Mus musculus: one gene and its partner. The protein of the gene in region 1 interacts with the protein of each later gene in a pairwise test. Links are inferred from orthologs where the notes say so. Each region holds a gene or a part of one and is shown in the gene's direction. Other genes may lie near its edges.

What was found.
Region 2: the proteins of Troap (region 1) and Dyrk1b interact in binary tests that used the Homo sapiens proteins (3 or more experiments, as listed by UniProt). The link is inferred for Mus musculus from reciprocal best matches to the Homo sapiens genes TROAP and DYRK1B.

The regions. Positions count from the first base shown.
Region 1 is NC_000081.6:99,077,791-99,081,067, forward strand, and holds part of Troap (tastin), read left to right. Parts: intron 1-41; coding exon 42-121; intron 122-456; coding exon 457-533; intron 534-845; exon of another isoform or gene 846-858; coding exon of another isoform or gene 859-907; intron 908-993; coding exon 994-1,112; intron 1,113-3,014; exon of another isoform or gene 3,015-3,075; coding exon 3,076-3,159; intron 3,160-3,277. UniProt on the Homo sapiens protein: Could be involved with bystin and trophinin in a cell adhesion molecule complex that mediates an initial attachment of the blastocyst to uterine epithelial cells at the time of the embryo implantation.
Region 2 is NC_000073.6:28,178,751-28,183,141, forward strand, and holds the start of Dyrk1b (dual specificity tyrosine-phosphorylation-regulated kinase 1B), read left to right. Parts: upstream 1-1,565; 5' UTR 1,566-1,597; coding exon 1,598-1,676; intron 1,677-2,758; coding exon 2,759-2,922; intron 2,923-3,610; coding exon 3,611-3,730; intron 3,731-3,828; coding exon 3,829-4,017; intron 4,018-4,313; coding exon 4,314-4,391. Other genes in the region: Fbl (rRNA 2'-O-methyltransferase fibrillarin), read left to right, coding at 148-293, 381-405.

The DNA.
Region 1 (3,277 bases):
GGCTGTTTCTCACTCTGTTTTCCTGTCTTGCCGTGGATCAGAATCCACCTCCAGGCTCCTCTCACTCCTCCACTCGACCCAGCTTACAGGAGCTAAGAAGAGAGACATGTGGCGGCGGCAGGTAAGGAGAGTGTAGATTCCCTTTCGACCCCAGACGGGAAAAAGTCACTGGGCAGGGCCGAGGGTTCAGACTTTGACAGCTGAGCCTTATCTATGACATGGAGGACATGGGGAGCGCTGCGTCATTTGGCTACAGCGTAAACTGACAATAGATGGCTTTTGAGTTCAATTCCTGACCCTTACCACTACTAGCTGTGCAAGCTCACCTTAACCTGCCTGCGTCTTGGCTTCTGCATCCCCATCGGCCAAGTGAGGTTAACACTGGTACTGTTAGAGGCTACTGCGCTGGTGTTTGCAAAGCCCTTAGCTAATGCCCAGCCCTTGCTTGGCACTCAGGGACGGGGACTGTACTGACAGAAGGACCTCAGCAAGCCAAGCCTCAAGACTGCTCCTGAAGACCCCGGTTCAGCCTGGTGAGTTTGTGTGGATGTGGGAACAAAGGAAGGGTGAGTGCCTGCACCAGGAAGGCAAGGGTCAGCAGGCCTCAGGGAGTGGGGTGAAGTAAGGGAGAGGTTGGAGGGAGGTCTGGCTCAGTGGTGGCGTGCTCCTCCAGCATTCACATCCCAAAAACACACACACACACACACACACACACACACACACACACACAGCAGACAAGACCTCCCGGGAAGGTCAGAGGTCAGCCTAGTTGTGCGTGTATCTCTGTTTCTGCCCTCTCCCTGCCACTTCCTGCAAGACAATGTCTACTGTGTTCTCTGTCCCAGTCCCTTGTGAGCCATGGCCACCAGCCCACCCAGGGCATTGGGATTGATAAGTGTTTGCCAAGGTATTATTGTGCTCTCGGGGGATGCTGAACGGGTAGACTTTGGTGTTGTAGATACTACAGGAAATGAATGTCCTGTCTCCTCCCAGCTTCCTTACCCCTCCGAGGCGAGCAGGAGGCTGTCCCTCACTCCGACGACGGAGGGGGAAGACATCATCTGGGTCTGGCTCAACGGATACCATTAAAAGAAAGTCTGACAAACACCAGGGTGAGCCGAGACCCTCCCAGGATGGGGAAGGGGTGTTCAGGAGGCACACTGAGGGTTGTGGGTAGAATTGGCAGACCCGGGACTCAGGGTATTTGGTCTTTTGCTGGAGTTGGGACCAAGCCCTCTTCAGGGTAGATCTGACTTCCTTTGTTGGGTATCTGGGACCCAGGGTGAGAGATGACAGACTGTTATGTGTGTCACTATCAAATCAGTACAGTGGCTTAAACATGGCCAACACTTACCAACCAAGCATTAATTCCTTCATTCCACTGGCATTTGCTAACTGGCTTTTGGATTCAGCCATGGTTCTAGTTCCAGAAAAAATATATGTGTGTGTGTGTGTGTGTGTGTGTGTGTGTGTGTGTGTGTGTATGTGTATGTATGTGTGTGTGTGTATATATATATATGTGTGTATGTGTGTGTGTGTGTGTATATATATACATATGTGTGTGTGTGTGTGTGTGTGTGTGTGTATATTCTAGAAAGGGGGGCAAAATAATAAAAGACAAAATAAACCCCACCCCACAAATGTAAAATGAAATATATAGGATGTCACATGGTGACATGTTCTTTCTAAAACTAAATGTATAAGGTACTGAAAGGACGTGGGAGAAGGATTGGTGTCATAAATTGGTAGTTTAGAGCCACGCTTGGTGGAACATGACTGTAACCCAGAGGAGGCAGGAGAATTGCCTGGGGCTGAGCCATCGTGAATTCCAGGACAGCCTCGGCTATGTAGCAAAACCCTGTGTTTAAAAATAGAAGGTGTGTGTGTGTGTGTGTGTGTGTGTGTGTGTGTGTGTGTGTGTGTGTGTGTGTGTAGGGGAATGGATGAGTAGGGCTGGCAACTTAACTCCCATTGGTCAACTTATAACTGCCTGCCAGAACTTATAACTGCCTGCCAGCCAGGCATGGTGGCGCACACCTTTAATCCCAGCACTTGAGAGGCAGAGGCAGGCAAATTTCTGAGTTCAAGGCCAGCCTGGTCTACAGAGTGAGTTCCAGGACAGTCAAGGCTATACAAAGAAACCCTGTCTTGGGAGAAAAAAAAAAACCTGCCTGCCTGTAATTCCCTCTCAAGACATCTGATGCCCTCTTCTGGCTCACATGGGCATCCAACACATACATAAATTCGGGAAAAAAATTGTTTAATGTTTACAAAGGGCATGCTAAGCAGTCTTTTTACAAAATGTAGTATGGCTAAGGCACTGTCATTGGGAAGATAAGGATTGCCTATGAGACCAGAGTTGAGGCTGTGACTCAGACAAGATGGGGAGGGCTGCAGATGCAGAAGCCCCGAGGAGAGGAGACATCTAGTCTTTGTGAGTTGGCAAAACAGACCAGAGAGGTTGAAGCCTAGACGAGAAGAGGGTCTGAGATGAGTTTGCAGTGACGACAGGTGAGAGATGAGGTAAGGACAGACAAACCAGTGTAAGTTCTTGGTAAGGACAGACGAACAGAGCACTTGTAAGTCCTTGGTGAGGACAGATGGACAAAGCACTATAAGTCCTTGGTAAAGAGCTACAAACAAGTTTAAGTTCTCTGCTCTTTCTTGGGCTGAACAAGAGTCAGGGGGAGATGCATGAATAGGGAGAGAGAGTTGGTTTCTCACTTGAATAAACCACTCAAGCGCCGCACATCGTGGCAGTGTGCCTGTACTCCTAGCCTCTTCCCTACGTGAGCCCCCAAAGAGTAGCTGCTGCAGTGGGGAGAACAGGAAGGTAGCTTTGGGGGCCTCCACTGGACGGTGATGGCTCCCATCTGCTGCCCTCCCTCCCCCATTCCTGCAGCCCAGTTGTATAGTACCACCTTCCATCACCGAACAGTCAGCTGTTTATAGACAGTCTCAGGGTGTTCGCTCCCCAGGCCTCTCAGCTGTGATTTCTATCAACAACCCTTGGGCTGGGCAGGATGAGAAGAGTTTGGCTGGAAGCCCTGCTCAGCCAACCACCTCTCTCCTCAGAGCACATATTCATCCATGAAACGCTTTGCCATTCGACGGAAAGCCCAATTCACACCCCTCCGATCGCTACCTAAAGTTCAGCAGGTAGGAGAAAGCAAAGGAGGGAACCAGTAGGGGCCAGGACTAGGGAGGAAGGGAGGAAGGACAGATGGATGAAGCAGTGTAAGTCCTTGGTAAGGACAGGTGGACAGCAGTGTAAGTC
Region 2 (4,391 bases), on another chromosome or scaffold:
AAGAAAATTCCTGACCTTAAACACTGCCTTAGATAAATGAAATAACCTGTTTCCAATGTGAGCCAAATTAAAACTTCTTTAATGAAGTTAGAAAATTGGGAAAGCCTGGGTCTCCAAATCTGTAACTTAGTCCTGACTCCTTTCTAGGCCAACTGCATTGACTCCACTGCGTCAGCAGAGGCTGTGTTTGCATCTGAAGTGAAGAAGATGCAGCAGGAGAACATGAAGCCGCAGGAGCAGCTGACGCTAGAGCCTTATGAGCGAGACCACGCCGTGGTTGTCGGTGTGTACAGGTGAGTGTCACAACAGACCTCTCCCTTACCTGTGGCCCTGAGAAGCCAAAAGTGGTTACAACTCGACCCCCTCTGATTTCCTCACAGGCCACCTCCCAAGGTGAAGAACTGAAACTCAGAGCTGTCTGGATTGAAGAGATGTGTGTTGTTACTGTTGCACGTGTGGCTTGTGATTTTTTGGGGGCGGGGGAGTTGTTTTGTTTTTCTATTAAAAGACTCATCTGTCTCCCCTGTCTGGTGCCTATTGCTAAGTGGCCTCGAGACGCATGCGCCCTTGATCAACTTTGTGTGCTTCGGGGGGTGGTGCCTGGAAAGTTTCATCCGGTCACATGGTGCATGCTCCATTGGTGGCTGCTCCGCACGTGCGCGGCTCAGCACCCTTAAGGCGCAGGCGCACTGTGCTCCGCTAGGTCACGTGAATGATGTGGGGGCGGAGCCGGGGCAGGGGGGCCGGTTTGTTGTGGTCGCCATTTTGCTGGTTGCATTACTGGGTAATCGGGGCCCTGGCTCGCCGCGTCCACCGGACACCCTCAGCCAGTGGGCAGGTCTGAGCTCGGGCTCCCCGAGCAGTTTGAATCCCCTTACCCACGCCCTCAGGTAAGGGTGCTGCGACGGGCGGGGCGGCACGCTTGGGTGGGGGGCAGGCCGGGAACCGCCCTGCCCGTCCCCGCGAGATTTAGCAAGGGAAAGGAGGGGGCTTTGGGCCGTTGCAGCGGAGTCCGGCTCTTCATAGCTGGATTCCTGGAAGAGGCTGAGCCCGAGGGAGCCGTCCTGAGAGGGAGTCGGGGAGGGGGCAGCCAGGCCCCACTCCCGCCCTTTGTTTGGGCTCGGCTGCGCTGGCCGCTTCGCTGTCGCCTAGCAACAGCTGCCCTGAGTGCTAATTGGTTAAGCTCTTGGCAGCAACAACCAATGGCGCGGTTGTTGCCATGGGAGGTGCGGCCTGCCGGGCTCTCTTGGGCCCCGCCCGCCGGGACTCCACTGGCCGGGGCGGGCCTGCCGGGTGGGGGGCGGGACGCCAGGGTCCCTGGGGGCGGGTGGCCACGCGGGGCGGGGCTGGGCCGTAGGGCGAGGGTTAACCCGCCCCTCCCCCGTCCACCTGCTGTCCCCTTCCCCCGCGTGCCCTGGTCTGACCCTCGTCCCCTCCTTTCCCCGCCCCTCCCCCTCGGTGGCAGTGGCGGCGGCTGCTGTTGTCACCCACCGGGCCGCCTGTCCCGCTTGCCCTCACCGCCGCGGGGCTGGCTAGGCTAGCCGGGCCGGGGACAGGCGGCCACCTCCTCATCGCCGCCGCCACCACCACCGCCGCCATGCTGGCCGCTCGCCCACCGCACTGGGGTCCCCATCGCGCTCCAGCCCCCCGTGGGCCCAGCGCCATCCCTGACCCGGGTAGGGGTGGGAGCTGTAAGAGCTGGTCCTAGTGTGGGAGGGCTCGGGAAGAGGTTGTTTATCTGTGAAGCCCCAATAAAGGGGACCTGGAGTGGCAAGACATAGCATAGAAGGGGATCTGACAAGGGGGAGGCTCCTAAGAAGGGGATTTTGTTCCGAAGGACACTTTTAGTGAGTGAAGTCTTGTGCGATATTTAGGGATTTGGCTGTCAGGCCCTTCTAGGAATAGGCTCAATTGTGGAATGACCCAGCGTAGAAATAGAGGAGCTAGCAAGGACCTCAGGGTAAAGAAGAAAAAGACCGTGACTCTTAGATGTTGAAAAATGACACCTCTCCCTTGTTTTCCTGAGGAGTAGGGGTCTTGGAGTAATGGGGGAATCCTAGTGGGATAAATATAGACTGCTTAAAAGAAGGATCTCTGGTTCCAGAGACCTCATATAGGGAGCAGGGAGCGGTCTTGGAGTATGGAGTCGGTCCCAGGGGAAAGTGCCGAGGTGGTTGAAACATCTATAGCTTGCATGTAAAGGAGTTCTCAGATAACCTTGGGTTTGCTGGGAGGTCCATAAGGACTGCTATGTTCTTTAGAATAGAAAGAAACTAGTGGGTAGACTGGGCTTGAAATTGGGCCCTTGGTGTTGAGGGAAGACGGTGTGAGGGCGGGGCCTTATCTGAGGGACTCAGGCTGGCCACCAGTAAAATTTTGAAGGACTGAGTTCTACTGCCCAGACTCTACACGGTTTCTGCCTTCTTTTGCTCTCCTAATTCCTGGCCTCTTTCTATCCCTCCTGCCCTGGCCTTGTACCCACCCTCTCCCACCCCTGTCTGGCTCTGATGGCTCCCTTTTACATCTCTGGATGTGATGCTTCATTCATTTTTTTTGGCTCCTCATTTGTTGAGAGACACGCTGTGCTAACCCACTTGCTACCCTTTCTGTTTGTACATGGCTACCTGGTGCTGGTGCTCTGCCCTGTCCCCTGTCTCCCCCTGGTCCTGCCCCTAACTCATACCCACCTCTTCTGACTGACCCTGACCTACATGCCTTCTTGTTCCATGTTGTCTTCCCACTTCCTACCTGCTCTCAGGTCTCAGCGGCGGTGGCAGCCGAGGTGCAGGATGCGAGAAGGCGCCCCCCGGCCGGGCTCCCGCTCCAGGCCTCACGCCCCTGCGGCCCTCTGAGCCCACCATGGCCGTCCCACCAGGCCATGGTCCTTTCTCTGGCTTTCCGGGGCCCCAGGAACACACACAGGTAGGCATTCAGCTGGCTTCTCACCTGCCTGAGGATTGAAGGGTCTCCAGACAAGAGCATGATTGTTGGAGGATCTCTGGGGACTTTGGAGGCCTCACAGTCCACCCTCATTCCTGCTGAGGACGGAATCCTTGAGCTTCTCCGTGGCCTGCCCTCTCACAGCATGGTTTTGAAGTGTAATGTGTGTCTTGGGTCAGAACTGTCACTGGCACAGAGCAGACAGGAACACAGGTCTGAAGGTTCACAACAAGAACGAGGTCTGGAGTAAGGGGCATGAGAGAGATGTCGAGGGGGGTGGAAATGAGAATAAGCTGAGACCAGGGAGACTAACCCAGTCCAGGAGCTTTGTAACTGGGCAGAAACACTCACTTGAGAGTGAGGACATGGATACAGGGAATTCATTGGCATGGTTCCCCATAATGGTGGTCTCAGGTGCAAAGATTCAGGGGTAAACACCCAGATATGGAGCAAAAGAGCTGACCTGGGGCAGAATGGAAGGCCAGAGGTAAATCACTCATTTCACATAATGAACAGATGAATGGGGAGCCCACACAGTGTGCTTGTGCTCTACAGGTGGGATCGGAGCTAGAGAAATGTAGGCATGGTCAGTGAGTCGTCAGCTTTCCCATTCTCTCCCTGGAAGTTGAGGTGAAGGCTTGTGCTCAGCATCTGCTCCGCTCTACCACAGGTACTACCTGATGTGCGGCTCCTGCCCCGGAGACTGCCCCTGGCCTTCCGGGATGCGGCCTCAGCCCCGCTGCGCAAGCTCTCGGTGGACCTCATCAAGACCTACAAGCACATCAATGAGGTAAAGCGGGGAATGGACTTCCCTGGTTGGGTGTTGCAAAGGGTCCTGGCTTCTTGCCCGGGTCACTTAAGGGTCCGGTTTCCTGGCTGCCTGAGCAGGTATACTATGCGAAGAAGAAGCGGCGGGCCCAACAGGCGCCACCCCAGGACTCGAGCACCAAAAAGGAGAAGAAGGTCCTGAACCACGGTTATGATGACGACAACCACGACTACATTGTGCGCAGTGGCGAGCGCTGGCTAGAGCGCTATGAGATTGACTCTCTTATTGGCAAAGGCTCCTTTGGCCAGGTGTGGGACTCCCCACTCATCCAGTATCTGGATGCAGACAACCACTAACATTCCCAACATTCCCTCCTCCCCGAGTGGTTCACTGGTTCACTTGCTGCAAGTTCTGTCCTGGACCAGCCAGTCAAGCCACTTAGTTTCCCTCTTAGTTCTGTATGAGTATAAATCACAAGGCTTCTTGTAAGAAAACTGTTATTTTGTATCCAGTATAAGGGATGTGAGCACTGGGCTGTGAGTTGTTAGAAAGGTGTGGCTGGTGGGCCTCCCACCTTCCCAGGTAACTCTCCTTGTCTCGACAGGTGGTGAAAGCCTATGATCACCAGACTCAGGAGCTGGTGGCCATCAAGATCATCAAGAACAAAAAGGCCTTCCTGAAC